Linked DNA regions of Ovis aries. The protein of the gene in region 7 purifies or fractionates together with the protein of the main gene of each other region. This does not show direct contact. Links are inferred from orthologs where the notes say so. Each region holds a gene or a part of one and is shown on either strand. Other genes may lie near its edges. The genes, in order: SF3A1, PRPF19, CDC5L, SNRPD3, RNPS1, SF3B1 and SNRPA.

Evidence for each region.
Region 1: the proteins of SNRPA (region 7) and SF3A1 fractionate together in Homo sapiens (co-fractionation; 3 studies listed by BioGRID and IntAct, with this or other methods). This does not show direct contact. The link is inferred for Ovis aries from reciprocal best matches to the Homo sapiens genes SNRPA and SF3A1.
Region 2: the proteins of SNRPA (region 7) and PRPF19 fractionate together in Homo sapiens (co-fractionation; 3 studies listed by BioGRID and IntAct, with this or other methods). This does not show direct contact. The link is inferred for Ovis aries from reciprocal best matches to the Homo sapiens genes SNRPA and PRPF19.
Region 3: the proteins of SNRPA (region 7) and CDC5L purify together in Homo sapiens (affinity purification with mass spectrometry; 4 studies listed by BioGRID and IntAct, with this or other methods). This does not show direct contact. The link is inferred for Ovis aries from reciprocal best matches to the Homo sapiens genes SNRPA and CDC5L.
Region 4: the proteins of SNRPA (region 7) and SNRPD3 purify together in Homo sapiens (affinity purification with mass spectrometry; 3 studies listed by BioGRID and IntAct, with this or other methods). This does not show direct contact. The link is inferred for Ovis aries from reciprocal best matches to the Homo sapiens genes SNRPA and SNRPD3.
Region 5: the proteins of SNRPA (region 7) and RNPS1 purify together in Homo sapiens (co-immunoprecipitation; 4 studies listed by BioGRID and IntAct, with this or other methods). This does not show direct contact. The link is inferred for Ovis aries from reciprocal best matches to the Homo sapiens genes SNRPA and RNPS1.
Region 6: the proteins of SNRPA (region 7) and SF3B1 fractionate together in Homo sapiens (co-fractionation; 4 studies listed by BioGRID and IntAct, with this or other methods). This does not show direct contact. The link is inferred for Ovis aries from reciprocal best matches to the Homo sapiens genes SNRPA and SF3B1.

Annotation. Positions count from the first base shown.
Region 1 is NC_056070.1:69,363,654-69,367,746, forward strand, and holds the start of SF3A1 (splicing factor 3A subunit 1), read right to left. Parts: upstream 2,801-4,093; 5' UTR 2,708-2,800; coding exon 2,645-2,707; intron 1-2,644. UniProt on the Homo sapiens protein: Component of the 17S U2 SnRNP complex of the spliceosome, a large ribonucleoprotein complex that removes introns from transcribed pre-mRNAs.
Region 2 is NC_056074.1:34,598,710-34,602,209, forward strand, and holds the end of PRPF19 (pre-mRNA-processing factor 19), read right to left. Parts: coding exon 3,453-3,500; intron 3,231-3,452; coding exon 3,161-3,230; intron 2,938-3,160; coding exon 2,852-2,937; intron 2,548-2,851; coding exon 2,377-2,547; intron 2,250-2,376; coding exon 2,144-2,249; intron 748-2,143; coding exon 650-747; 3' UTR 261-649; downstream 1-260. UniProt on the Homo sapiens protein: Ubiquitin-protein ligase which is a core component of several complexes mainly involved pre-mRNA splicing and DNA repair. Required for pre-mRNA splicing as component of the spliceosome.
Region 3 is NC_056073.1:17,858,154-17,861,653, reverse strand, and holds part of CDC5L (cell division cycle 5-like protein), read right to left. Parts: intron 2,616-3,500; coding exon 2,397-2,615; intron 1,020-2,396; coding exon 875-1,019; intron 1-874.
Region 4 is NC_056070.1:71,547,568-71,551,580, forward strand, and holds the start of SNRPD3 (small nuclear ribonucleoprotein Sm D3), read right to left. Parts: upstream 2,801-4,013; 5' UTR 2,685-2,800; intron 824-2,684; 5' UTR 806-823; coding exon 680-805; intron 1-679. Other genes in the region: protein GUCD1, read left to right, coding at 2,941-3,145. UniProt on the Homo sapiens protein: Plays a role in pre-mRNA splicing as a core component of the spliceosomal U1, U2, U4 and U5 small nuclear ribonucleoproteins (snRNPs), the building blocks of the spliceosome.
Region 5 is NC_056077.1:2,301,123-2,304,437, forward strand, and holds part of RNPS1 (RNA-binding protein with serine-rich domain 1), read right to left. Parts: coding exon 3,267-3,315; intron 3,026-3,266; coding exon 2,870-3,025; intron 2,263-2,869; coding exon 2,071-2,262; intron 1,884-2,070; coding exon 1,781-1,883; intron 1,496-1,780; coding exon 1,342-1,495; intron 1-1,341. UniProt on the Homo sapiens protein: Part of pre- and post-splicing multiprotein mRNP complexes. Auxiliary component of the splicing-dependent multiprotein exon junction complex (EJC) deposited at splice junction on mRNAs.
Region 6 is NC_056055.1:199,734,116-199,738,216, reverse strand, and holds the start of SF3B1 (splicing factor 3B subunit 1), read left to right. Parts: upstream 1-1,301; 5' UTR 1,302-1,330; coding exon 1,331-1,358; intron 1,359-4,101. UniProt on the Homo sapiens protein: Component of the 17S U2 SnRNP complex of the spliceosome, a large ribonucleoprotein complex that removes introns from transcribed pre-mRNAs.
Region 7 is NC_056067.1:49,429,715-49,433,736, reverse strand, and holds the start of SNRPA (U1 small nuclear ribonucleoprotein A), read right to left. Parts: upstream 2,801-4,022; coding exon 2,728-2,800; intron 1-2,727. UniProt on the Homo sapiens protein: Component of the spliceosomal U1 snRNP, which is essential for recognition of the pre-mRNA 5' splice-site and the subsequent assembly of the spliceosome. U1 snRNP is the first snRNP to interact with pre-mRNA.

The DNA.
Region 1 (4,093 bases), on a different chromosome or scaffold from region 7:
CTTTTCAGACTCACACTGTCCTCAGTAGGCACTGACAGCGCATCCTCCACTTCCCCAGCACCTCTAGGCCACACCATCCTGCCCACACCAATGCCCCCCGTCACTCTCATGTGGCCACAGAGCTGTAAGAGCCCACGGTCCCGGGGCACTTTCATCTCTAACCACCCTCCTCATGGACGGCCAACCGTGCCTCCAGTCATCCAGGGCAGAAACGTGGGTCTCTTCTCCTTTCCTCAACCTCCACATTCAGTGATAAGGAACACTTCTCAAGCACAGAGTAGGTTCTACATCCTTCTCTGAGCACCTGAAGCAGATTACATCTATAAGCCTTACAGGCCCGCGACGCTAAGCATTCTCACTACTGTCATTCTACAGATGACAAGCTAAGAAACGGAGACCCCTCCCTGAGGAAGCCCACGTGGCAGAACCAGGATCCCAGCGCATCAGTTCAGAGGGAGAGCTTGCACATCAGCCCTTCCGTGCCGTCAGCGTGCCGGCGCCCTCTGCCCCAGGCCCCAGCCACAGTGTAGGCCAGGCCCTCAACGTTTTTCAAATAACATGACCAATCTTTCCTCCGAGCAATTCTCCACATCACTGTCTACCTCCATTTCTGCAACACAAACACGTCAGTCTCCAGCTTACATCCGCTCTTCTCCCAAAAGCCTGCTAGGAAGAGTTCAAATCGCCAGTAATACAGCTCTTAAGTACCACTTTCCCAACTCCATGCTTTAACCTTCTTTACCCTTGACCAGAAGCACTGTCTGACTCAGACCTCGGTACCTCTGCACTTAGGTGGCTTTACCTGGCTTATTTTTCCACGAATACCGGGAAAATGCCAGGGTTACAGAGGTACTTGCAGTGGTCAACAGATAGGATATGCTCAATAAATAAATTTGCTGAATGAATAAAGAATGGTATTTGCCTGCCCCATCACCTACCTGGTGAACTGACTCATCCTTCTAAACACAACTTAGCTTACATCCCATGGGCCTCGCCTACCTTAAACTCTCCTCTAGCCCATAAAAGCGACGTGGATTAGAATTGCTGCCTCCACTGTTTAAAATAGCCAAGATGTGGAAGGGCTTCCCTGGGAGCTCAGCTGGTAAGGAATCCGCCTGCAATGCAGGAGACCCCAGTTTGACTCCTGGGTCAAGAAGATCCCCTGGAGAAAGGATAGGCTACCCACTCCAGTATTCCTGGGCTTCCCTGGTGGCTCAGACAGTAAAGAATCCACCTGCAATGCAAAAGACCTGGGTTCGGCCCCTGGAGGAGGGCATGGCAACCCACTTCAGTATTGCGTGGAGAATCCCCATGGACAAAGAAGCCTGGCGGACTACAGTGCATGGGGTTGCAAAGAGTCAGACACAACTGAGCAACTAAGCACAGCACACAGCACAGGACATGGAAGCAAGCCAAATATCCATCGACAGATGAATGGATAAAGATGTGGTACGTATATGTGATGGAATATTATTCAGCCACTAAAAAGAATGAAATGATGCCATTTGCAGCAACATGGACGGACTCAGAGAGTGTCATGCTGAGTGAAATAAGTCAGACAAAGAAGGGGAAATACCGTATGGCCTCTCTTATATGTGGAATCCAAAATGAAATGACACAAATGGACTTACAAAACAACAGGAGACTAACAGACTTCGAAAACAAATGTATGGTTACCGGGGGGGAGGAATAGTTGGGGAGTTTGGGAAGGTCATGTACACGTTGCTATATTCCAAATGGATAACCAACAAGGACTTACTGTCTGTCACAAGGAACCCTACTCAAAGTTATGTGGTAGCCTGCATGGGTGTGGGATGTGGGGGAGGACAACTGCGTGGATATGCATGGCTGAGTCCTTTGCTTTTCAGCTGAAACTACCACAACACTGATAATCAGCTATATTCCGATACAAAATAAAAAGTTTAACGTTTAAAAAAGAAAGAATTCCTGCCTCATTCCTAATACCCTGCAATTATCACCCAATTATTGACCCCGTCCCTCTTCCTTAGCTGAATCTTTTTAAGGGCTGTCTGAAACAGTATCATTTGTGGTGACTGAGACGATATTTACTAGTATTCTCTCATATCTGTCTCCCCACTAGTCCCTGAGCTCCCTAAATAAAGCACGAATTGTGCTTCACTCATTTGGCTAATATCGTAGCCTGGCACGGTGCCGGGCTTACGGTAAGCAGAAAACAAACGCTGAGAGTTAACATTCAAAGATGTACCCTGCAGGCTGGGTAATTAGGGACTCCAGAGCAAAGGCTGGGGGGCCGGTGAGCCCAATTAACCACACGAGACCGGAGGATGCGCTAGAACAGGGCTTCTCAAACGTTAATGAATCACCGTGGGATCTTATTAAAAACGCAAATTCTGATTTTAGAAGATCTGGGGTGGGAAATCAGCATTTCTAATCAACTCCCATTTGCTGCTGGTCCGCGGACCTCAGTTTGAGATCCACGGCACTAATAAGGCTTCTTCCGCTACCCGAAGGCAGGCGGGAAGCGCGCTGCCTCCTGGGACTTGGAGTCCCCCCAAATCCTCCTAAACGGCAGCTCCTTCCTGCACGAGTTAGGAGCGCCCGCGCGGGAGGCGAGGGCCCAGGCCTGCTCAAGCGGCCGGTGGAGGTGCAGAACTCGCCGTACCTGTTTGGGCTCGGTGGCCGCGGGCGGCGGCGGGGGCACCGCCTGCACGGGTCCGGCCGGCATGACTGCGACGCTCAGGGCTGCCAGTCCGCCTCGGTGTAGGTGAGCGGTGCGGCGTCAAAGCGCCTTACCGCACCAACAGTACGACAAGCTCTCAAGATGGCGGCGGCCGACCGAGTTGTCGCCGAGGGGGCGAGGCTGACGCACGTCCGGGCCCGCCCCTTCTCCGTGACATCACTTCCTGCCCTTCCCACGAGCGAGACGCCGTTGCCATGGCAGCGGCAGGGCAGCAGGGCTAGGTTTTGCACCGGATCCCCGGAGCTGCAGGAGCGCCTGGGGGCAGTTCCAAGAACCCGCCAGACACAGGGGCTGAGGCTGCGACGCCGGAGACTGGTGAGACTTTTTACATCTTCCGCCCCGACGCCCGGATCCCCCTCTCCTTTACTCTGCCAGGCCATTTCCCCTCTCCCTCCGACCCCCGCCTTCTAAATCCCGGGTTCTCTCCCACTGGGCTCCCACTTTGGCCAGATCTCCGCCTGCCTGTTCTTCCAAGCCCTTCTATACTTCAGGTCCACATCCTCCAGACCCCTTCCCAAGTCTCGATCCCTAATTCCCACTGGTCCCGTTTCCCGCGGCCCTGTCTTTTCCAGTTCCACCCCCGCCTGCCGTAGTCCCGCCCTCCAACCGGGTGGACCCACTCAGATCTAGGTTTCTTCTTTAGGCTCCACCCCTCACGTCCGCAGGTTGGTCCCGGCGGGCCTCTTCCCCGCCCCCTGGCACACCACGATCCCCCTCTTTTCGCTTCTCCTCCTGGGGGCTTCTCTTCCCTTTCCCCTCTCCCCTCCCTCCTAACTCCAGAATGTGTCTGGCTCTGAAGCCTTGCCTGGACTTCAGTTTCTTCACCGATGAAATGGGGGTGTGGCGGGGGGAGTGATAGGAAAAGATGCCCTCCCAAGTCTCCTCCCGTGTCTCTTTCTCACACCATAGCTGATTGATGTTAGTGTTACTATTAACGTTGAATTATAGCGATAGTTAGGATTTGTTGAACATGTACCATGAGCCAGACTCTGTGCCAAACACTACATGCATTCCATCATTTGTTTCCCAGAGCAACTCATTTACAGATCTTCAGTTTACATGGTGGAGTGGGAATCCAAACCCAGGCCTTTCTTACTGTTCTACTGGTGCGCTTACTTGGTTACTTGCTTTGTCTTCACTGGATTCCTTCAGTATCCCCCCGGGGTATCCAGGCAGTTAGCAATCCTGAGTCAGAGACTGACGCTGCTATATAGATGGGTTTAGAGTTTCCAAAGCATTTCCATGGGTGCACTGGTCAGGATATGTGAAATCGCTCAGTCGTGTCTGACTCTTTGCAACCCCACGGACTGTAGCATACCAGGCTCCTCCGTCCATGGGATTTTCCAGGCAAGAGTACTGGAGTGGGTTGCC
Region 2 (3,500 bases), on a different chromosome or scaffold from region 7:
CAGCACTCTCCCCTTCCCCCACTTCCAGGCTCACATGGGAGCCACCCAAGGCAGGTGACATAAAACCCCATAAATCACAAAGTCAAGGCCTGCAGGAATGTGGAAGAATCATTCTGGCAAATGGCTTGTAGATTATTTTTAAATTTGTTGTCCAATTAAAGAAACAACAGAATGATGGGCATCCTGGTGGTTGAAGCCCTAACTGGTGCTCCCTCCCCTTGATTCTCCCCACTACAAACAGACACAGGAAGGCGGCTACGTTTGTTTTCTTTTTTTAATGAAACTAGAGCGCTGCTTACAAAAACCTTCCTGAGCCCTCGGCCCAGTCCCTTCACAGTTCCCTTGGCTCAGCCTCTCTCCAACTCACAGGAACTGGAACACGGTGGGTGTGGAACAGCCATCAGCTCCATCAACTCCTTGAAGAGAGGCCCTGGGGCCGACGCTGAGCCCTCAAGAGGGTGACGGATGAGGGTGGTCCATGCCACTGCGGCTCTCAGGCCACCACCGGGACCAGAGTGAAATGATGCGAATGTCCCACCCCATACACCCCCCACCCCCCAGTAGTCTCTTCTCCCCTGCCCCCCACCCCCACCCCTAATGCTATCCCTCTACTGAGACGAGGCCCCACTCCGGTCTGGTGAGCTGCCGCCTACAGGCTGTAGAATTTGAGGCTCCGGTCCATTCCCGTGGAAGCAATGAACTTGGCGTGGTGTCCGAAGGCCACCCCCGTGGTCAGGCCACTGTGCTCTGTGGAGAGACAAGACAACGGTGAGGAGGCTTTTCTTCCTTGGGGTCTCAGCGTCGACCCCTATGACATGCTCCCCACCCGTCCCTGTGACCTGGAAACCTCCCGCGGCCTGGAAACCCCCAAGGCCAGAGCTCTACATGGCACTGAGCTCCAGAGCCTCCCTGGGGCTGGCCCACAGCAGGCACTGTGTGTGGCTGGGCTGAGTGAACACAGGAACACCGGTCCTCCGCCACCTAAGCTTTCGAGGGCAGCTACAAATTGGCTTTGCTCGGCTCAGTCCAAGTCTGAGAACTGACAGGAAGCTGGACTTGTTGGTCTTTAGTTCTGAGCCCCTGTGTGTAACTGGAACAGTCTTATCAGCCTGTCCTAGCTCACACAGAAGGCTGGGTCAGGGGCAAAAGACGCCAGGCAACCCTCTCCGCTGGGCTCAGGTAGTTCATGGACATCAGGGCAAATTCCCACAATCACAGCTGGCCCACCAGCTCCCCACTCTAACGCTGCCCTGTGCTTCCAGCCCGCCACTCCACTGACTGCTCTAAATCAAGGCACCGGGGCCCAGGGAAGGTGAAAACCCATGGGCCACACCATCAGGTCTGGCCATCTCTGGGACACACAGTGAGTAGAATCTGGGGTGGGAGAAGGTGCTTGTGCCCCGCCCACCACCCGCTAATGAGAACAAGAACTTCGTTAACAAAGATGGCAGCAGCTGCCATTCCTTCAGTTCCTGAAGGTGCAAGAGGCATCCTGTCCCCATGCAGGCCACCTCCAGGGCACCAGCCGGCACAATATGCGAAGCAGTGTCAATACGCCCATTTAAAGATGAAGTAACTACAGCTCCAAAAGGGAAAGTCATGCACCAGAGGCCACACTACTATTAGGAGGTGCCAACTTTGTTGGGGTGGTATTTGTATATAATGTACACACATTCTCCTATATACTTTAAATCATCTCTAAATAACTTGTAATTCCTAACAGCACAAATTCTATGCCAATAATTTTAAATATAGTGTAAATGCTACATGAATAGTTGCCAGTGTGCGGGCAATTTGAGTTTTGCTTTTTGGAACTTTCTGGATTTTTTCCGCCCACAAATATTTTTGATCCACAGTGGGTAGAGTCTGTGGAGAATCAACTGTACTATTATTTTCCAGAGAAGTTAAGTAGCTTGCCCAGTGTCACAAAGCTTCGAGTGGCAGAGCTAGCATTTAAAGTCAGGCAGTCTGACTCCTGAGTTCCTTGTTTTAGCCACTAAACTCTATTGCCTCAGAGAGTGACTAAAAGCGGCCTTGGCAAATGCACGCCTGCCACTAGAAACCCCTAACCCAGTGAAATTTTCCCCACTTTCTTCTGGGCCAGAGCACCCAGAGACCTCAGGGTCTTAGGGCAAGCCTCTACCTGTAAAGTGAAGAATCTCCGTCCACTGTTTACAGATGTAGATCTGGACGTCGGTGCCGCCAAGGGCCAGGTAAGTACCGCTCTGGTCAAAGATCAGTGACTTCACCTGCCAAAATCAGGAAAGAAGTCACATGAAAGGAAGCAGAAACTGTGGGCAATTCGGGGAAAACAGAGGCAGTTTAGAGTAATTCACTGACAAACGAGGAGGAGGGGTGACAGAGAAAGACGTGTACCTCAAAGTTGTTATCCAGCTGCAACGTCTTAAAGTTCTTAAGTTTGCGCAGATCCCAGAGTTTAACAGAGGAGTCATCGGCCGCTGTAGCCAGGTAGTAGCCGTTCTCCGAGAAGGCAATGCTGGTGATGGGGCCCGAGTGGCCGGGGAAGTTGGCCACATTGGTGCGCTCCTGTGGTTGGGGAGCAGGGAGTAAAATGTCACCCACTGGTCATGAGGGAGAAAATGGAGCTCAGACAACTCCACTCCTGAGACGTCCTCCACCCTCAGGGAGGACAACCAGCAGGAAGAGCAAGGGTGGACGCCCAGCCTGGGGACCCCAGTACTGTGCCACACACACAGTACTGTCACACACACAGCCCCTGTCTCCCCACTCTTGGGACACCCCCGGGGCCAGGTGCCATAAGCACTTCATCACACCACACGGGGACAAGAGCTCCAACCCTGGGCTGCAGACGGGGACAGCCATGTCCTACCTTCAAGTCCCAGATCTTGATCTGAGAGTCCATGGTTCCTGTTCCAAAAATGAGTCCATCAGGGTGGAACTGCGCACAGGTGAGAGCTGTTGGGGGGGAGACAGACAGACGGTCAGAGCCCACCCTCAAGATACTAAGCACAGCAAAGGTAGGCTCCTCGCTGTTCCTCACGCTCCCTGGGCCAGCACTATGCCCGGCACCCAGCAAGCACTGGCAGCATGTATTTTTTAGAACAAATGAGCAACAACTAAATAAAACATTAAACAATATACAGCGACTGAAGAGGCCAACACTTAGGAGACAACTTACAGCAACCAGAGGTCTCATCGGTCACCTTGGTGAGCACACGTCCTGTCTGGATATCAGAGAAGGCCCAGTACTGAAAAAAAAAGAGACAACAGAGCTGGTAAGACAGTGGGTCCCCAGGTTCTGATGGCCCCTCAGGAAGGCAGGGACCCTGGTTGGGCAGACCTTGGCAAGGCCATCCCCTCTCTGTAGAGAGGAAATACTCTCTCCTGGTTCTGGGGACCCAGCTGGGTAAGATGTTTCCTCCTCCCAGGATACCTGAGTTTGGGGACCAAGAGCCTGGCTGGGACGATACCTGGTCATCAGAGGAGCTCAGGAGATAGTCACCAGTGGCGTGGAGGCT
Region 3 (3,500 bases), on a different chromosome or scaffold from region 7:
CAATATCAAACTGTATTCTTCTATTTCCATACTGAAATTCTCTCAAAACAATATATTAATAAATCAAGATTATAAATTATTTGTACAAAACCATTTATCAATTGGGGGGGGCGCATACTAAAAATGAATTAAAATATCACAGAGTCCATTGAGCCACAAAAATCCCTAAGAAAATCAAAAGGTGTTATTTTTGTAATTTTACCAACAAATGTCCTAAGAACTGGAAAAAAAAGAAAAGGTTACAGGCAAAATTCCAATTTAAGAAATATCACCACTACAAATGATAGCATCTGACAAAACTATTTTATGTTTATACCCACGAATTTTATATTAATGCAGCCAGGGCATTCATTTGGCTAAAGAAGCTGTTCAAACCTCCTAAATCCATCCCTCTGCTCCATTAAACTGTCCAATTCTACAGAGCTGTACTCATCAAAATGCAAGAGAAGCTTATTCAAAATCCTCATGTTTCTAACCAACCACAATTCAGCCATAGGAAGAGAGCCTACAATGAGCTGAATGAATTGTTTCTTCTCCACAACTCCCACATTGATTCTCACAGTTACTGTCTCAAAAACAGAAGAATGACACAACCAAACATTCCCTAAAAGGCAGTCACCTGAAGTCCACAAGGCCAAATACCACCATTACCAGCTACAAAAAAATGAGGCCTGGAGCCCCAGTCTACTGACAAATTGCTAAGAGCTGACAATTAATTACTAAACCATCATATGAGAAGTTCAAGGCCTAATATTTCTTAGGAGTACCAAGCACCTAAAAGAAAACCTGGCACATACACCCGCAAACATTTGCTGAAAAAAGGTATAAATGCATGTGAGTTCACACAGTGAAAAAACTACTTTCATCAGATTACCTGAGGGGCAGGAAGTACTAGCTTGCTCCTCTTTTTAGTAAATTCAGAAACACCACTAGTTTGAAGAATAGCTGATGGTAAATCAGATTCTTTTTTCCTTTTCAAATGCTGTTTGTCTTTTTTTCTATCTCGTCCTTCTTTTTCACTGTCATGGATCAAGGTGGAGAACAAATTTTTCAAAGTTACTCATAGGCAATAATGTTAAAAGCCATACAAATAGTCATATACTCTGAACAAAATAATCCGCTCTTAAGAAAAGTACTAATAAAAAGACAAAACTATATACATTAAGCTGTTTCCTATTCCTATACATTACTTACTACTATGTTCAATAGGAATATAGAATAGCAATAGAATTATTAAGAAAATAAGATACACTAAGTAATTTAAGTACTAAATAGTAAAACTATGTAACTATAAAGACTACGATAAGCAAAATGTTACATATAACATGAAAACCATAAAACTACTCCTATATCATGACTCCTATATCATGACTACCTTCATACAAAAATATGTGTTTGTACTAGGAAAATGATAAAGTATACAAAAAGGGAAACAAACGAAGGGAACAGAATTAAAACACTGGTTTTAAATTTTCCTTTAAAACTAATCTTCAATTGTTTGACATCATTTTTTTTTTAAAGGACAGTTAAGTTCTCACAAATGACATCAGAGAGGTGTTAGGGTCTAGTGCCAGGCTCAAGGTCATTTTCTAAAGGACCAGGAATGCTTCCTTCCCCTCTGCATGTCACCCTTCTCCTCTTATCTAGTCTACTCCACCCAAATGACTTTTTTTTCTTCAATCTTTTTATCTGTAGAGGCTACCTAAAACAAGGGTCTAATCTGAAAAACAAATGCAATGGAGTACATTCAAGAAAATGCTGATCCACACTGGCTGACATCTGTTGTTTACTAACAATTCATGTCAACAGAAATATAGAAGGCCACTGGGGGAGTGGAAAACTAAAAATCTCTGATAAGCATAAAAGGTTTTTTCCACAACATTCAGATATAAGATTTAAAGAAACTCTAAAAATCCCTATAAATAAGCAAAATCCTTTGCATCCTAAGACATCTGATAAAAATACACACTGATCCTCATTAGATGAAAAGATTTAAGAATGAACTGGTAATCATCATTTCTTCCTTTTAATTTCATTTTAAGAAAAACAAGATAAAATTTTCACTAAGGAAAAAAAAAGGCAGACCAGATTTCTGACATATTCCTTCAGGCCATTAGTGAAATAACTAACCTGTTTCCAAATTCACTAACAGCCAAATGCTGACATTTCAAGAAATGCAAACAGTATTCTGTACTAAAAACATTACAGCCAGGGTCACTGGTTTTCTCAGAAAGGTGAATCCATTAAATAAGTAAAAGCATTATGTAAGCCACATTGTGCTGACTAAGAAAAATCTGGCTCTGACAAGGATAATATCTGGCCGTCCATAAAATTCCTACTATACTTTTCCATTTATAAAACCAGAAAGGAGAAAAAAATCCAGAAAGGTAACTTACGATCTCAGCTCCCCATCAAGATCCTGCTGTCTTAACTTTCTGAAATCAGCATCAAGAGTCTGGTAGTTTTCCTCAGAAGTATCATAGAAACCAAGAGCAGGCTTTTTTTCAAATGGAATTTCAGCATTATAATCAACTCCTCTTTTCTTTTTTCTTTTCTTCTGAATTTCTATGCCGGCTGCTCGAAGTTCTCTTCTCTTTTGGAGGGCAGCAAGACGCCTGAAGCAAAAGAACAAAACATCACCTTGAAAATCATACACCACAGGGAAGGGATGTCTCATCCAACAGAGCTAAGAAAGCTGTCCAGTCATTTGGGAAAGAAATATTTACTTAAATCCTCACCTCACACCATGCACCAAAATCAACTCCAGTTCTGATGTAAAGGTACACATATATACTAGAGCAAAGAGAAAAACCAGAAGGAACTACAAATAAATATGTATCTAATCTCTGGATGGGAATATACTCACTTAATATCAATGAAATGGGCAAAAAAAAAAAAAATCAACAGCTTTCAATTTTAAATTTTATATCTCTGTAGCACCATTTTTTAAATCATAAAACAGTATCAAAAAGTAAATAGTATAAAAAAAATTGCAATTAGTATTAGGAATGGTTAGATATAAAGAATCCAGGCAAGTTTTTTTTAATGCATCTCAAGGGAAAAAAGCAGAAGGAAAGACAGTTCACTACAGAAAAAATGCAAACAGCTAAAATAACAAATGCTCCAACTACCGCACAACTGCACTCATCTCACACACTAGTAAAGCAATGCTCAGAATTCTCCAAGCCAGGCTTCAGCAATACGTGAACCGTGAACTTCCAGATGCTCAAGCTGGTTTTAGAAAAGGCAGAGGAACCAGAGATCAAATTGCCAACATCCGCTGGATCATCAAAATAGCAAGAGTTCCAGAAGAACATCTATTTCTGCTTTATTGACTATGCCAAAGCCTCTGACTGTGTGGATCACAATAAACTGTGGAAAATTCTGAAAGAGATGGGAATACCAGACCACCTGACCTGCCTCTTGAGAAACCTGTATGCAGGTCAGGAAGCAACAGTTAGAACTGGACATGGAACAACAGACTGGTTCCAAACAGGAAA
Region 4 (4,013 bases), on a different chromosome or scaffold from region 7:
GTGGGTCCAACACGTCTTGGCAGAGCGATATTCAGCAGGTGAGTCCCGTAATCTCATTCTTCCCATTTCATGGATAAAACTATCACCCAAACCTGCTTGCTTGGCCAAGTATTTGCTCCGAGTGCAGTCACACGAGGTGCTTCTGCTAGGAAAATGGCAAATACCCAGAGTATGCGAGCGAAGACTCTGCTAGCTGCAAAGCACTGTGCAAACGCGCTGTGCGGGGCGGGGGCGCTGAGCCTGACGGCTCCGCTGAAGGCTGCGCTGCTGCTGCTGAGTCGCTTCAGTCGTGTCCGACTCTGTGCGACCCCACAGACCGCAGCCCGCCAGGCTCCCCGTCCACAGGATTTTCCAGGCAAGAGCGCTGGAGTGGGGTGCCACTGCCTCCTCCGGAAGGCTGTGCTGCTTCTCTTAAATGGGCCCAAAGTCCGTGAGAAGACAACCACGGGACTGGGAGCAGCGAAGGACGAGCAATCTAAACAGTCAGATTCTAGGTTTCATATTCTCAACCTCCAAGAGGCTCTCACTGATGCCCGCCTCTCTGGCACCTCTAATAGGGCCTGGCACAGCTTAGGCACTCGGTGAACCACCGCTGAGCAAGAACCTCAAGGAGCCCCAGCCGCCCGCGCCCTGCCCTCCGAGGCTCCGGCCCGCCCCGGCCCCGCACAGAGCAGGGCACCTGGCAGTTCATGTTGTCCTCCGCCTCGATGAGCTTGCCCCGATACACCTCGCCAGTGTTCGTCTCACACGTCACGATGTGGCCCTCGGCCTCGTGGAGGACTTTGATCGGCACTCCGATAGACATCCCGGCAGGAAGAGAGTTCTGCGGTGAGAGAGAGACAGCAGTTAGCTCATCTTCCGACGCCCAAGAACGCATGTGCAAACACCACAACCCCTCAAGGCTGACACTCTGGAAAACTCAGCAAAGTTGCCAGAGGTGCACTAGTTTTTTTTTTAGCTGAATTCTGAGCTTGAAGGACCCATCTGGCAAACACGTGCAGGGTGTGAGTGGGGAGGAACAGGGCCTCAACAGGGGGAAAGCTGACGGGAAAGAGCTGCCTCCCATCTTCCTTCCACCACAGGGCTCTTGAGTGCGCATGTTAAGTCGCTTTTCTGACTCTCTGCGACCCCATGGACTGTAGCCCACCAGGTTCCTCTGTCCGTGGGATTCTCCAGGCAACAATACTGGAGTGGGCTGCCACGCCCTTTTCCAGGGGATCTTCCCCACCCAGGGATGGAGCCCACGTCTCTTACATCTCCTGCACTGGCAAGAGGTCTTTTTAACCACTAGCGCCATCTGGGAAGCTCAGACGGGGCTGTGCGTTTAATTCAACCCATTAAGCACTCTGACCGTCTACTTACTTCACCATTAAGCTAAAGAGAAAATATCCAAGTGTTCACAAGGTGGCGGCGTGCTACAAGTGGGAAACGCTCACCCTGGAGGGAAAATATAACCAGGGAGAACCCCGACTTGATCTAATTAAGAGAGAAAAAAAGCAAGTGGATTTTTTCAATCCCAAGACGGGTGTATAAAACGAAAACTTCTGTAAAATGAAATGCTTTCTGCTCTCCAGTAATCAAGGCACGTCGCAGCCATCTGGTATTCCAGCCTTCCAAATGCAAATTTTTAAGCCCAGGTAAAAACCATACTGGCTTTTTGGCAGCTGTCCGTTACTTCCTGTAAGTGCTGAGGAGCTGGGGGATGTCAGAAGCACAAGAGGCGGTCCCTCGTACCTTAACTTTAGGGTAAAGGAGGAATTAGGCTGTGAACAGCCGAAAAGCAGGAATTGGCCCCAGATAGCTGAGATGCATGTGAAAGAAAAGATTTCAGGAAGCCCGGACTCTTGCATCTTCCCAAAGAACAGAAAAGTATTAAATCTCTTCAGGCCGGAGATCTGGTCTCCATTACTCAACAGTCATCTTTTAATATTCAGATTACCTGCCCCTTGCTGCAAACTTCTTTGTAGCCTGACTCCACCCCACCCAACATTTCTCTCTCCCAGGGGTCGCCTGAAATCCTGTCTTCCGGGCTCGGAGTCCTCATGATTCCCACCGAATAAACCTAATTCTCAGCTTTTAGGTGGCGGTATTTTTTCGGTTGACACGCAGCAGGAGGTCGAAAGAGAGGAAAAGGACCGGGAGAGGTTAGGAAAAAACAGGTTCCATTGCTGAGGACAACGCTGAACCGCAGCTGGGGGAACCGGGGCAGCACAGAGACTACCCCACGGAAGGGCAGCCGGAGTTACAAGACGCTGCAACACGATTTAGACAGAAGCAAGGAAATGTGATAACCTGTGTTTCCAGCGTTAGGGGATCAGGTCCTGGAAGGGGGAGGGAGGCAGAGATGCCAAGGGCTTTGAAAAGAAATCAGCCAAGTAGGGATCTGGGGGGAAGGTGGCCACCAGCCAGGAACGATCTCAAGACCACTGCCTGGATACTTCGAGAAACACCGGCCTGGAGAGGTTCGGAAACCGAAGAGCAAGTACTTCGGGGAAAAAGCTAACGAACGCACCTCCAGGCGCTTGGGAGGCGCCGCTGGGGGTCGGGGTGGCCCAGCTCCCCGCGGCTCTCCCTCCACGAGCACCGCAGGGCTCCTCGGCGGCGCGTCCTCCTCCAGCCCCCCGGCCCCCCGCGGGACCTCGGCCTAGCCCTCGCCCTCCCCGCACCCCCGGCCCCGTCCTCACCGGCTCCGGGCTCCTCTTTCAGAGGCGGCAGGGCAGACGGAACTCCGGCGACTGCGAAGGCGTGAGGGCGCGAATGGCGGGCCGCGCGCTCCCAGAATACCACGCGTTCCCAAAATGCCTCGCGCAGGGCCCGCCCCCTTCCTTTACCCGAGTGGCGGCGGGCGACGTCTCTCGCCTTCGCGTTCATCCTTACCGCGCCGGCTGGGGAACCCGAGCTCGGGTACAATAGTTCCGGGCCCGGGGAAGAGCGGGGCTGATGACCGGACCCAGGTGCCGCCGGAAACAGCGACCCTCGGGCCGGCCCGGGCCGAGGGGGACTCGCGGTCCCCAGCGCCCGACGCCAGACGCGGGCTGGACAGCGAGGCGGGCGGCGGCGGCGGCGGGGGCCCGGGGCCGGGACCTGCCCCCGCAGGGGAAGCCTGGGAAGCCGACGGCGCCGGGGAAGGGGTGCCCCGAGCGAGGCGAGTGCCCCCGGCGTGCGGACAGGGAGAGCGGGGACCCGGAGCAGCGGGCCGGGGGGCCGCCGGCGTGGGAGCCGGGGCGGGCCGGGGCGGGCCGGGGCGGGGCCTGGGGCCGCCGCCGCCTCCCGCCCCCGCTCCCCCCGGGGCGCTGGTGCTGGCCGCCCGGGGAGCCGGCGCGCGCCGGCCGCGCGCTCCCGTCCCCAGTCGACGCCAGAGCTGCAGCCCGCGCCGGGCCGGGGCCATGGGAGCCCCGCGCCGCCCGGGTCATGAGGACGGAGGTGGACGCGCAGGCAGCGGGGCCGCCGCTCGAGCCCGGTCAGTGTGGTCCCCCCGTCACCCCGGGGATCGCGGTGGGCGCGGGGCAGGGCCCCGGGGATCGGGGGGCGGCCCTGACCCCGGGGATCGCGGTGGGCGCCGGGCAGGGCCCCGGGGATCGGGGGGCGGCCCTGACCCCGGGGATCGCGGTGGGCGCGGGGCAGGGCCCTGGGGATCGGGGGGCGGCCCTGACCCCGGGGATCGCGGTGGGCGCGGGGCAGGGCCCCGGGGATCGGGGGGCGGCCCTGACCCCGGGGATCGCGGTGGGCGCGGGGCAGGGCCCTGGGGATCGGGGATCCGGGATCAGGGTTGGGGGGCAGCCCTCAGCCTGGGAATCGAGTTTGGGGGGGAACCCCGCCCGAGCGCCGGGCAGGGTCCGGCCGCGCGACCTTGGGCCGACCGCCGCCGCGGCCCCGGCTGTTGAGCTCTGAGCAAAACCTGGGCAGGTGTGCGCTCCGGCGGGTCCCGCCGGGCCGGCTACGGTCAGTTGGGGTTTGTTTGTTTTTCCTGATAACTCCCTGAGCAGGGACACCCCTGGGCATCTCTCGCTTGC
Region 5 (3,315 bases), on a different chromosome or scaffold from region 7:
AAAAAGGAGAAAGGTCATCCTCTACCTGCTGCTGCTAAATCGCTTCAGTCATGTCTGACTCTGTGCGACCCCACAGACGGCAGCCCACCAGGCTCCCCCACCCCTGGGATTCCCCAGGCAAGAACACTAGAGTGGGTTGCCATTTCCTTCTCCAATGCATGAAAGTGAAAAGTGAAAGTGAAGTTGCTCAGTCGTGACCCCATGGATTGCAGCCCACCAGCCTCCTCTGTCCATGGGATTTTCCAGGCAAGAGTACTGGAGTAGGATGCCATTGTCTTCTCTCATCCTCTAGCTACCTGCCAGTAAAAACCAAGCCCTTCCATTTCTTTCTGGAGACTGATCGGTTCCATTCCGCACAATACAAAGAGACAGAGAAAAAGTCCTACCAGAATCTTAAGACAAGGTGGAATATTTATCATCACACACATCCTGAATGTGTCTAAGCCTCCTAAATTTTTAGCAAGTGCTCAGACTCCATCAAACACAAGACTGACAATCTCTAAAACAAAGGCGTGACTCAATAAGAGTTGATGCCTGCACAGTGACAGATCCCAGTTTATGCTGAACTCCTAAAAATACTCCAGGGGGATTTAAGGAGATTGAGAGAAGTACCAAGGAAAATTTTGTACTATACAAACTCTACCAGGGTTCAAGGGCAATTATCTTTCAAACATGTAAAAGGGCCTCCAAGGATGCCAAGGTTCTCAGGGGTTCAGACTCTTCCCCCCACTCGGCCTGGCAGCCCACGTGGGGCTCGGGCACTCCTGGCTCAGCTCAGCTGCCTGGAGGACAGAAGCAGCAAGGGTCCAGCGAAACCTATACTCCTTAAAATGCTGCCTATTCGAGATGCAAAACAACTGGCAAATGTTCAGTCCTTCAAAGGGTGTCAAAGCCAATACAAAGTGGCTGTAAACGTCATCAACAGTTAGGATGCATTTTAGGAAGAGGTAAAATCTGTGGATTTAGAAAGTTATCTTAAAAATGCTAAGTTTTAGCAAAACAGAAAGTAACTCAGGATTAAAGAAAACATTCCCATATAAAAATGTTTCATTATAGTCAAATACTTTGTGAAGAAAAAAAAAATCGTTCATTTGATCCTTAAGTTTTAACAGATTGAAATATTCTTAAAATGCTAATATATTCATATTTGATGAATACTTTTTCAAGAATAATGCTCTGTAAAACATGGTTTTGGTAAAGACACACCCACTGAGTAAGAACTGGAATCTTGACAGAGCTCCAAGGAAATTCTCACATGCAGCCAGACTGGAAATCGGTTCTCATCACACCAGGTATGGTGGGCAGCTGGTCTGGGACAGGTCAGAGCAAGGCTGGACTTACCTCCGTCCATGTGCTTCAGCGCCTTCTCAGCCTCGTCTGGATTCTCAAACTCCACATAGGCGTAGCCTTTAGACAAATGGGGGTGCATCCTTTCTACAGGCATGTCAATCATTTTAATTTTCCCATAGGTAGAGAATATCTCCATGATGTGATCCTAGGGAGGAAGAAGGGTCACTTAGGCTCACCCTCCCTTCACTTGTGTAGAAGTCAGAGAACTCGCCACACAATGACCACACCCTCAGCACCCTAAGCACACACACAAAATATATTCTGTTAAAAGGAAGTAACCAGTGCTCTACTTGGTCACATGCCACCAACTCAGCCCCCAGAAATGCTGCATTCTACGTTTACCTTCTGGCAGAGGCGGGCTTCTCATTTTCCATTTTAAACATCTGCAAGAATCACCCCAATGTCCACTGGACAGAAGCAGATTCCTCACCTTGGTCACATTCCTGGTGAGCCGCCCAATGTGTACTTTGGTGGGTTTAGGGGAAGGGCTCCGCCTTTTCCTTTCCTTTTCATCTCTTTTGGGTGGTTTGGACCTAATTGAAAAATACAAAATCCTATTAAGACAGTGAAACTCCTTTTTTGGTCTACTTTGGTAATAACTAATGGTAATCTTATAGCCCCAGTCTGTAAACTTAGATCCCAGATAACTCATGAGTCTTGGAGGTAATCCCCTGAACTGACCAGTCCCCCGTGGAGAAGAGGGGCTGGAAGGGGGCTCACTTGGAGCGGGAACGCCGCCTGTTGTCGTGTCTGCGCCGAGAAGGGCTCGGGGAGCCGGAGGAGCTGCTGGAGCTGGAGCTGCGCGACGTGCTGGAACTTCCCGAGCGGCTCGAAGCCGAAGACGAGCTGGAGCCGCTGCTGGAGCCCGTGCTGGTGCTGGAGCCTGAGCTGGAGGTAGAGCTGGACCGGGACCTGAGGGCCGAGAGGGAGGGGTCACCGGTAGAAGCAGTGCTGCCTCACTGCAGACAAGTCAAGGGGAACCACTGGGCTCGTATTCTCAAGCCTCAAGGCTTTCCCCAGCACCCACGGACACCCTCCAGCCCCATCCTAACAAAGCCCTTGCAGGGACAGAAACAGCATATGTACCATGCAGTGACAGGACTGCTTCCTACCTACACAGAAGCCTTGCCTACTGGGAGGAAAAGGAGCAGTCTGGGAAATCAGAGCCCCCGGCTCAGCTTGGAAGGCAGCTACTGACTGACACAGGCTGGTTTTCAACAAAAGGAAAAGGAAAGAGCCAGGCTAGGATGATCCAACCACAACTCCAAATCAAAAGCACGCGAGAAAAAAGCATAACTCAAGATGTTGCATTCCTAATGCCTCCAAAAAAGAAAACAACCAAACATACCAACACCGTCCTCTGTATGATCAGAGCAAAGCCCAAACCAGTCTGCCATAAATTAGTAATCTGAGTGCTTTATCAATAAAAAGAAAGAACACTCTGCAGGCTCTTTGGGAAAGAAGAGGGCCATGGCCTTGGAAGTAAGGCCCTGGCAAGGCCCTGACCTGCCAGCCCCACCTGGTGCTGCTGCTCCCGCTGGAAGCACTGCGCCTCTTCCGAGTCTTATCCCTGCCACGATCCTTCTCGCTCGACTCCTTGGTGGCCCCTTTATCTTTAGAGCGGTCCTTGGACTTCTCATCAGAGCGGTCTTTGCGTTTGGTGGGAGAAGGCGCCCTGGACAGTGAGGGAGAGTGTGAGATGACATGCCCCTTGGGCTGAACCCTGAAACCACAGCACAACCCAAAAGGGGATGCAAAGGGCTACAGAAACCCCAGGCCACCACAGAGCAAAAGGGTCTGTGGCTTAGGACACTTTCACTGTAAAATTCAAGATATTTCCAATGTCCCCCTTTCTGCGGGTCCCTAACAACGAGCACCCCGAAAGTAGCACTAGAAAAATCTGACAGAAGGATTACCTAGTGCTGGACTTTTTATTATTTTCTTTGACTCCTAGCAAGCTCTTCT
Region 6 (4,101 bases), on a different chromosome or scaffold from region 7:
ATTTTTTATATATAAAAGAATATATGTAATCTATGTGTAGGTTATAAGCCATTTAAGGAATACCTATGGACCCTCTGCCAATCCAAGAACTAGAATTTATCAACAATTGAATTAATAATCTACATGTTCTTCTCTTATCTCATCCCCTTCCTCCTCCAGCTATTGTTTAACCTAAATTAAACTGAAAACTTTAACCCATCAAATTGATTTTTTCATTGATGCTATTAAAATGTCACTTTGGGGGACCTCCCCAGTGGTCCAGTGGCTAAAATTCTGTGCCCCCAATGCAAGGGGCCCAGGTTCAATCCCCAGCCAAAAAAAAAAAAAACACCTTACTTTTTTATTACGTAAATTTCTACTAAGTATTTGTATTCTGAGTCTGTCACACCTGCCCTACTAGGCTGCTTCCAGTACCAATTTCCCTATTAAATTCTTATGTTCTTCTGAGTCCAAAGCCAGTGTGACAGGTTATGGTTGTATAGCTGATGTTTAGGAGAAAAAAATACTGATTTAGGAATGACATTTAGGATTATCAGAAGCATTTCATTAGTGTTAGTGCTGACAATCGGGACTTTTCTAAGAACTCAGAAGAGCGTCAGAGTTCCTGCTGTGTAACTTAATAACCGTGTGACCTTGTGCAGTCTCATATATAACCCTGTCCTATCTTTTTTCCGTCATTTCTTAAATGAGATTAGCAACAATTTATCCACTTTGTGGGAGTTATGGGATTACCAACAAGTTACTCTCTTTATGTGAATTTCAATAGCGATTGGGAATGTATATTGTAGACAAAACTCCTAATCAAATGGTAAGTAATTAGTTAAAAAGAGAACGACCTTAAATTACAGAGTGAGGGATGAGACTGTTGTAACTGTTAACATAACTAAGCACTACAACAGCTGAGACATGCTGAGGAAAGTTTTTGGCCTCAAAACGCCGTCTGGTGAATTTGGAGAAAGGGGACTGAAGGTCTGAGGCTTCTTCCAGTCCTGAAACCTTAGTGTTTCTTTCAGCGACTGTTTTTAACTGCCCTGGTGGAATCCACTTTCCTCCACGGCGGAGTTACTAGCTACAGGGCGCTAAGGCCCACGTAGTCCTTGTCGGGTTTACCACGGAAACCGTCTCCGGGAGCAACCCTGACTCCTCCCTCCACCCACAATGCACCTCTCTGTTCTATCTAGGTGGCTGCTCTGTCACGTGTCACCGACCGAGCGCGCTCCCGCTTGGCGCTTGCGCGGAGAGCGGCTCCCAGCTATTTTTCTCCGTGGCAGCGGCGACGAGCGGAAGTTCTTGGGAGCGCCAGTTCCGTCTGTGTGTTCGAGTGGACAAAATGGCGAAGATCGCCAAGACTCACGAAGGTAAGCGGTTTTCCCCTTGTTACGTAGATTCTCCGCTGCCAGCCTGCTAAGACTTTGTCTTCCTAGGTTTCTGCCTCTTCCTGTGGTTTCTTTTCTGGGGGTCTGAACTCGCGCTTCGGGCCCCGGGTTGTCTGCTCGGCGCCAGAGGCGCAGGCCACTGCCCCGCGTAATGGCGTCCTACTCGTACACCCCCGACAGGCGCTTTGTTCCGTGTTTGGGTACTGTTACTTCAACATTGCTTTTCTTCTCTGATTGGGGCCTCGTTTAAACAGCTCTCTAAGGATAATCCCTGGGTAAAGGAGCGGGGAAAAGGGCATGGGAACAAAGTCTCTCTCACCTCTCGGAACTGTCGTTGGCATAGTTTGTGCAGGGGAGGGTCAGAAAAGCACTGGATTATAGCAGCCGCTTTCCGGGCTGCGCTCAATCGAGTTTAGTCAAACTGAGGCTCGTTGCTCTTTAAGCTTGGTTAACTTGTATGTCTTCAGGCCTCTAAGATACATACCTTGGTGTTTTTTTTTTTTTTGGCTGTTGTTTGGAATGATTTGGAAATACAATCTGGTAGTTTTCTCTGTCCTTGATTACTTTTAGTATAATAGGGGCCTTTTTTCTTTTGAGACTGATTTTTGATGGAACAGGGAAAGGCACGTTAATAATGGCCACAGCTCTTGAACAAGTTGGTCGTTTTGTGAAATACAGAGTATGCGAAATTAGGAAAATATTAGAAATAGGCTGTAGCAGTCCCCCTTCAGGGAGTATTCAGAAATGACAGGAAGTAGGGGCACTTTTGCGGAGAAGGCAGTGGCACCCCACTCCAGTACTCTTGCCTGGAAAATCCCGTGGACGGAGGAGCCTGGTAGGCTGCAGTCCATGGGGTCGCTAAGAGTCGGACACGAATGAGCGACTTCCCTTTCACTTTTCACTCTTGCATTGGAGAAGGAAATGGCAACCCACTCCAGTGTTCTTGCCTGGAGAATCCCAGGGACGGCGGAGCCTGGTGGGCTGCCGTCTGTGGGGTCGCACAGAGTCGGACACGATTGAAGCGGCTTAGCAGCAGCAGGGTCACTTTTGAGAAAAGACGAGGTGTATGGGAAGTTGGAACTGCATTCCTTGATTTCTGACTTGAAATCTGAAATTTCAATCAAACACTGCTTCGAAGAGTTAGTTTTATTTCACGTCGTTTTTTTACTTTTATGTCACGTCGTTTTTGGGTTAGTGGCTTGGTGTTAGTTTGTGGGAGGTAATAAAGACTAAAGTCATCAAATTTTATAGTCTGGTGGGGAAACAGGTATCTATTTTCATTCTTTACGAGGCAATTGAATGCTTAAACAAATATAAGCAGTGTATTTTGGGAAGCTGGGTAACGGAGTCATTAATTTATGCTTAGGGCTATTTCATAGAGGAGATGACGTATCCCTGGTCTAAAAGGATCAATCGGTTTTAAATTAGGGGAGGACATTTGAACCTGAGATGACGTCTTGTTCCTAGTTAGTGACTCGTGAAAGATGTGTTTGGCTAGTTGGGGCAGGAAAAGAGAGTTCAAGGAGGAAAAAAGGAGATGCATCTGAAAAATGTTGGTTGGGGCTGTTAATGATTGTGTCACCCCTGGGAATTGAGTCCAGTTTTCTGCAACTTAGGAAACAGACTAATGAAGTGGCAGTGACTTTTATATTTTTACTGTTCTTGTTAGGTATTTGGGATTGAAACACTGTTTTAATACCAAAGTGTTTTGGGGGCACTTCTGTCTTTAGACTACTACTTTTGTAAAATAATTAGAAAACATAAAGATGTTGGCTATTCTTGTTTATCTTGTAGGTTATTCATTTGGGGCATTTTGTGGCCTTGATTACTTTATCAGTATCTTTATGATAAGATAACTTTTGGATAGGAAAATCAAAGTTATGATTAGTTTTCCTGTGTTTTAGAAGCACAGTTGAAAGTTTTAGTCTATAGAAGATTGCAATTCATTTACCGGAATTGGTTTTATATGGGATTATACTCATGAATTAGCTGAGGCCTAAAGTATTGGAGCGTTCAGTTTCAGGTGTGAACACTGTCTGTATACAAGACACTGTCCAATCACTTACTGCAGTGTAAGACAGTATGATGAATGTTACAGTTTCTTGTTCTTTCCTCATGACATTTTCCTGGAGAGTACTAGTTCTTCAGAGTCCATCTCTGTTTTTACTTCTTAAGCCATCTCCGATAAACTGGATCAGAATAACTTTTCTTGGATTTTTGTTTGTGTATTTGACTTGCGTGTGCTTCTGTTACAACACTCCTAATCTTTATTACTTATAATATTTTACAGTGTTAAGGTTTTTTCTTCCACTTACAGTTGTATACAGAAACTGTCCTTTGGTATCCTCCGTTCCTGATGTATGAATGCTGAATATTTTAATCAACACTTACCGAGAGATTATACTGAAAGTATTAAGACTATCACAGAAAGGGGGCACTTAAACACTGACCTTTGAACAGTTTGGTAGGTTTGAATACTTCTGTTTGGCTAAGATAATTGGGAAGGACTTGAATTTTGGGACCTTCCTGAGTTTATATTTTGGAAACCTCCTGAGACATATTAACATCAAATTAGGATATTTGGCTAGGCTTGACTTTGGCCTTCCAGTATCTCCAGGATAAAGCACCCTCTTCATTCTCTGAGGTAACATTACTTCTGTGACTTAAAGTCATTGATTGTGGTAAAGGATGATCTAGAGGGAGTAAGGGTAACCTTTTAGGATGC
Region 7 (4,022 bases):
CAACACTGGCCTCCCAGCCCTTTCTCAGGCTCGTCACAGCAACCTTGCCTCAGGACCTTTCCACTGACTGCTCCCTCTACTAGGAGCAACTTTCTCCTGATGTGTACATGGCTGCCTCCTTCCAGTCACCCAGGACTCAGCAGAGATGTTACCACCTGAGGCCTTCCCTGACCACCATGGTGAGAGACCCCTCATGTCACTCCTCTCACCGTGAGAACCTACTTGCTTTTCTTTCATGGCACTTCCCACCTCCTGACATCATGTTTGTTTCCTTTTTGTTTGGTCCTCTTTCTGAAGAGGTACAAGTCTATCCTATTTGTTTATCACAATATCCCCACAGGGAACTCCCTAGTGGTCCAGTGGTTAGAACTCTGTGCTCTTATTGACAAGGGTCCAGGTTCAATCCCTGGTCAGGGAACTAAAATCCCATAAGCCCCTTGCTAAGTCACTTCAGTCGTGTCGGACTCTGTGTGACCCTAGAGACGGCAGGCCCCCAGGCTCCCCCGTCCCTGGGATTCTCCAGGCAAGAACTGGAGCAGGTTGCCATTTCCTTCTCCAATGCAGGAAAGTGAAAAGTGAAAGTGAAGTCGCTCAGTCGTGTCCTGACTCTTAGCGACCCCATGGGCTGCAGCCTACCAGGCTCCTCCGTCCATGGGATTTTCCAGGCAAGAGTACTGGAGTGGAGTGTCATTGCCTTCTCCATAAGTCCCTTGGTGTGAGCCAAAAAAAAAAAAAAACCCCTAATGAACAGTATAGTTGCCAGCACACAAATCTCCAAATACATCTGCCTGAATAAACACATCATTAAATGATTTCTGGGAATAACTTCACTGAATTTTTACCTCTACTCCATGAGTGAGCAATTATAACTGCCCCAATTTTACTAATGTGGATAGAGGCTCTCAGAGGATCTGTCACTGACCGAGGACCCAAGTCCATCTGAACCCAGGACCACCAAACCTCCCTAGCAAATGGACAGCCAGGAAAGGGTACCCGTCTTATGCAAAGAAGGTACCTGAGCTTAAGACACCTGGCCGAAGAGACAGCAGGAAAGAAAAGGGGGGTCGGGTAAAGAGGGAAGCAAACGGCCAGAAATTCTGATGACAATTCTGAGATTTGTCTCCACTTGCCATCCCCGTGAACCCAGTGCGGGCCCGAGTCATTCCCCTGGGTGCTGAGCCTCTGCCCAGTCTCCTTTCTTGCCCACACAAGTTCACCCTCCACAGCTGGAAAGATCTTTCACAATTAACTGCATCCCTTGCCTGGCTCCCCAAAGCCCTCAGGATGAAGTAAAACACCCACCCAGACCTCAAGGCATCAGGAGCCAGAGTGCACTGCTTGCCTGAATGTTCTCCATGAAATCACCAGCCTCTAAGTCTCAGGCACCCAAAACTGCAGTACATGTGGTTCCCAGAATGCCCTAGACTCTCTTTTGCCCCTGGATATTTGCACATGCTGGTCCAGGTTAGTCACTCTTCTCCCTCATTGTAACACAGATGCTGCTTCCTCTCCCTGGTAGGCTTTCCCAAAATGTCTCCTGTTCTGTGAACCTGAATACCCTTTTCCAAGTGCCCAATCCCAGCCTTGACTACTATGCCTCAACTTCCCCCAATTATGGCCATGGCTACTCTGGGCTATCACTGTCTGGGAGCAGATCTGTCATCTCTACTAGACTGTGGTTCCATGAAGTCAGGACCAGGACTGTCTCAGTCACCACTGTGTCCACAGCTCCACAGAGAACTGGCTGGGCACAATGCTCTAACAGTATATGAGGGATTTACATGGCTTGTTTATTATCTTCAATAGCAACTTTATCAGTAACCTCAACTTAATGCCAGCAAGCTCCTTCAGTTCTCCTACCAGTTTTCTTGAGGAGATAATAAGAGCTAACACTTATATCCAACCCTTACTAACAGCTAGGCACCATAAAAAAAAAGGCATGGAAGTTTAGCTCATATATTCCCTATAACATCTGTGCACAGATTTTGCCCAGCTTTCCTATATATATAAAAACATGAAGTTCAATAAAAAGTGATAACTTGCTCAAGAAAAAAGAAAAGTATGTCATATCTAGAATCGAGTTCTTAACCAGAATTCCATATAGTGGTCTCAAGCACGTTTCCCTGCTGTATGCCTTGGGAGAATCACATCCCTGTGGAGTCTCAGTTTCTAATCTAAGAAATGGGAACAACAGGTCCTTCCTGCAGGATTGCTGTGAAAGTTAAATGCAACCATTATTTATAGATCAGCACCTGGTACCCAGTGTTACCCGCCATCACGGTTCATTTCACTTTATTTTGAAATGAAACGTTTTCACTGTGGATTATTCACTTGAGGCCATGACAGTGACCAACAGTTGCAGTTCTTACCCTCCTGGAGCTCAAAGGCCAGGAGAGAGACAGTCCCCTGACAGCCAGATCAGGACTTGGCTGGGGAGGTTCAGGGTTTTAGGAAGTCAGAGGCAAGCACGTGGGTGGAAAAGGGAAGGGGGAGGCATCCTGGAGGAGGGGCGTCTTGAAGCTGAAACCTTGAAAGACAAGCAAGTTACCAGATTACCGGGAAAAGTGTAGGAGAAAATGAGGAAATATCAAAAGCACTGCTTGTGCAAAGGCCGAACTTAAAAGGTTTGGCTGGAGAAGGCTGAGGAAGAGACATGGATGCTGGGGACAGAAGAGGGAGCAGGTTCGTGCGGGATAGCCTGGTGTCCGGACTATCCCGAAAACTCACCATCCTTCTTGATCTTCTCATTGAGATTGTTGATATAAATAGTGTGGTTGGGGCGGGTCTCGGGAACTGCCATGGAGTAAGTTGCTGAGGTAGGGCTGAAAGAATGAAAAAGTCCCACTCAGTCCTGGGTTTCTGAAAATCCTTTTGTCCCAACGCGGGCTACTAAAGGATCTTCCTTCCAAGAGAAAGTCAAGTAAGGTACAGAGGAGGAAAGAGGGAAGCACGGCTCGGAAAACAAAGCAAACGCAGCACACAGCTTCTCCTCCCCGCGTGGTGAGGGAAATCTCGTGAGGTTTACTACGAGTCCCAGGATGCTCTACTCGACTTAGTAGGCGGAGCGGCCTAGGTGGCGATTCCCACTGGCCCACGCGCTCAGAGACCCGCCCAGGAGAAATGGCCCGGCTGTAAGCGCCAGTTAAGGCCAGCGGGACGGCGTTGCCGAACCCTGGCCTCGAGCAGAAAAAAAATAGTTCCCACTACACGAGGCGCAGGAAAGCCCGGGCGTCAAGCGCTCCGCCGCCAGGCGCCTACGGCCGTTTGTGCCCAAGAATACTCACCGAAACAGGCTCAGCTCCCGCAAGCGATGCCTGCTACGCTGCTGAGCGCCGGCCACAAAACTTCCTCCTCTAGACCCGCCTTGTCTATCTACAAGCCAACCCCTGCGCAGAAACTTGGTAGCTTGGCCAATCAGAGTAAGGCTAGCTCCCGGACCCAGATTTTGCCAATAAAAACGGCAATTGGGTTCGCGCCTCAGCAGAAAAACTCCGCCCAGCCCCTGCAAACCCTTTTGCGGCGCACGCGACTAAGGACCAATCAGTGAAGGCCGCGCCCCCTCACGCGCCTCTTGCCAATCGGGACTCGGTTCTTGCGGCAGTCTCTTCCAAGGCCTTTCTTTCGCAGCCAGTCTCTGTCACGTGATCGTTAAAGGGGCGGGCTTGAGTTGCGAGTCTTACCGCGGGATTTGGGAAAGGCTGTACGCTGCGGCAGCCATTTTGCGGCAAGGGTAGGCGCGTTTTAGTGCCCGGCCCTGTTACCCCAGCCGTATGGGGGCTCCCAACGACCTCCAACCTGTGAGCCTTCTCCAGCCCACAAGACTTCCCGTTGCGCCCCGATTTCAGGACTTTCTCCACAACTAGGCTAATTTCCCTGCCAAGTGTCCTTTTGACCTCTGACTCAAAGGTCAGCTCTAAGGTTCCAAACTCCGGTCTGAGGTGCGAAGGGGGTAGGATCTCTTCTAAATTCTTCCAGTTTTTAGCCCAGGGGTCCTCAATCCCACGCTTTACGTGCCTTGCCCC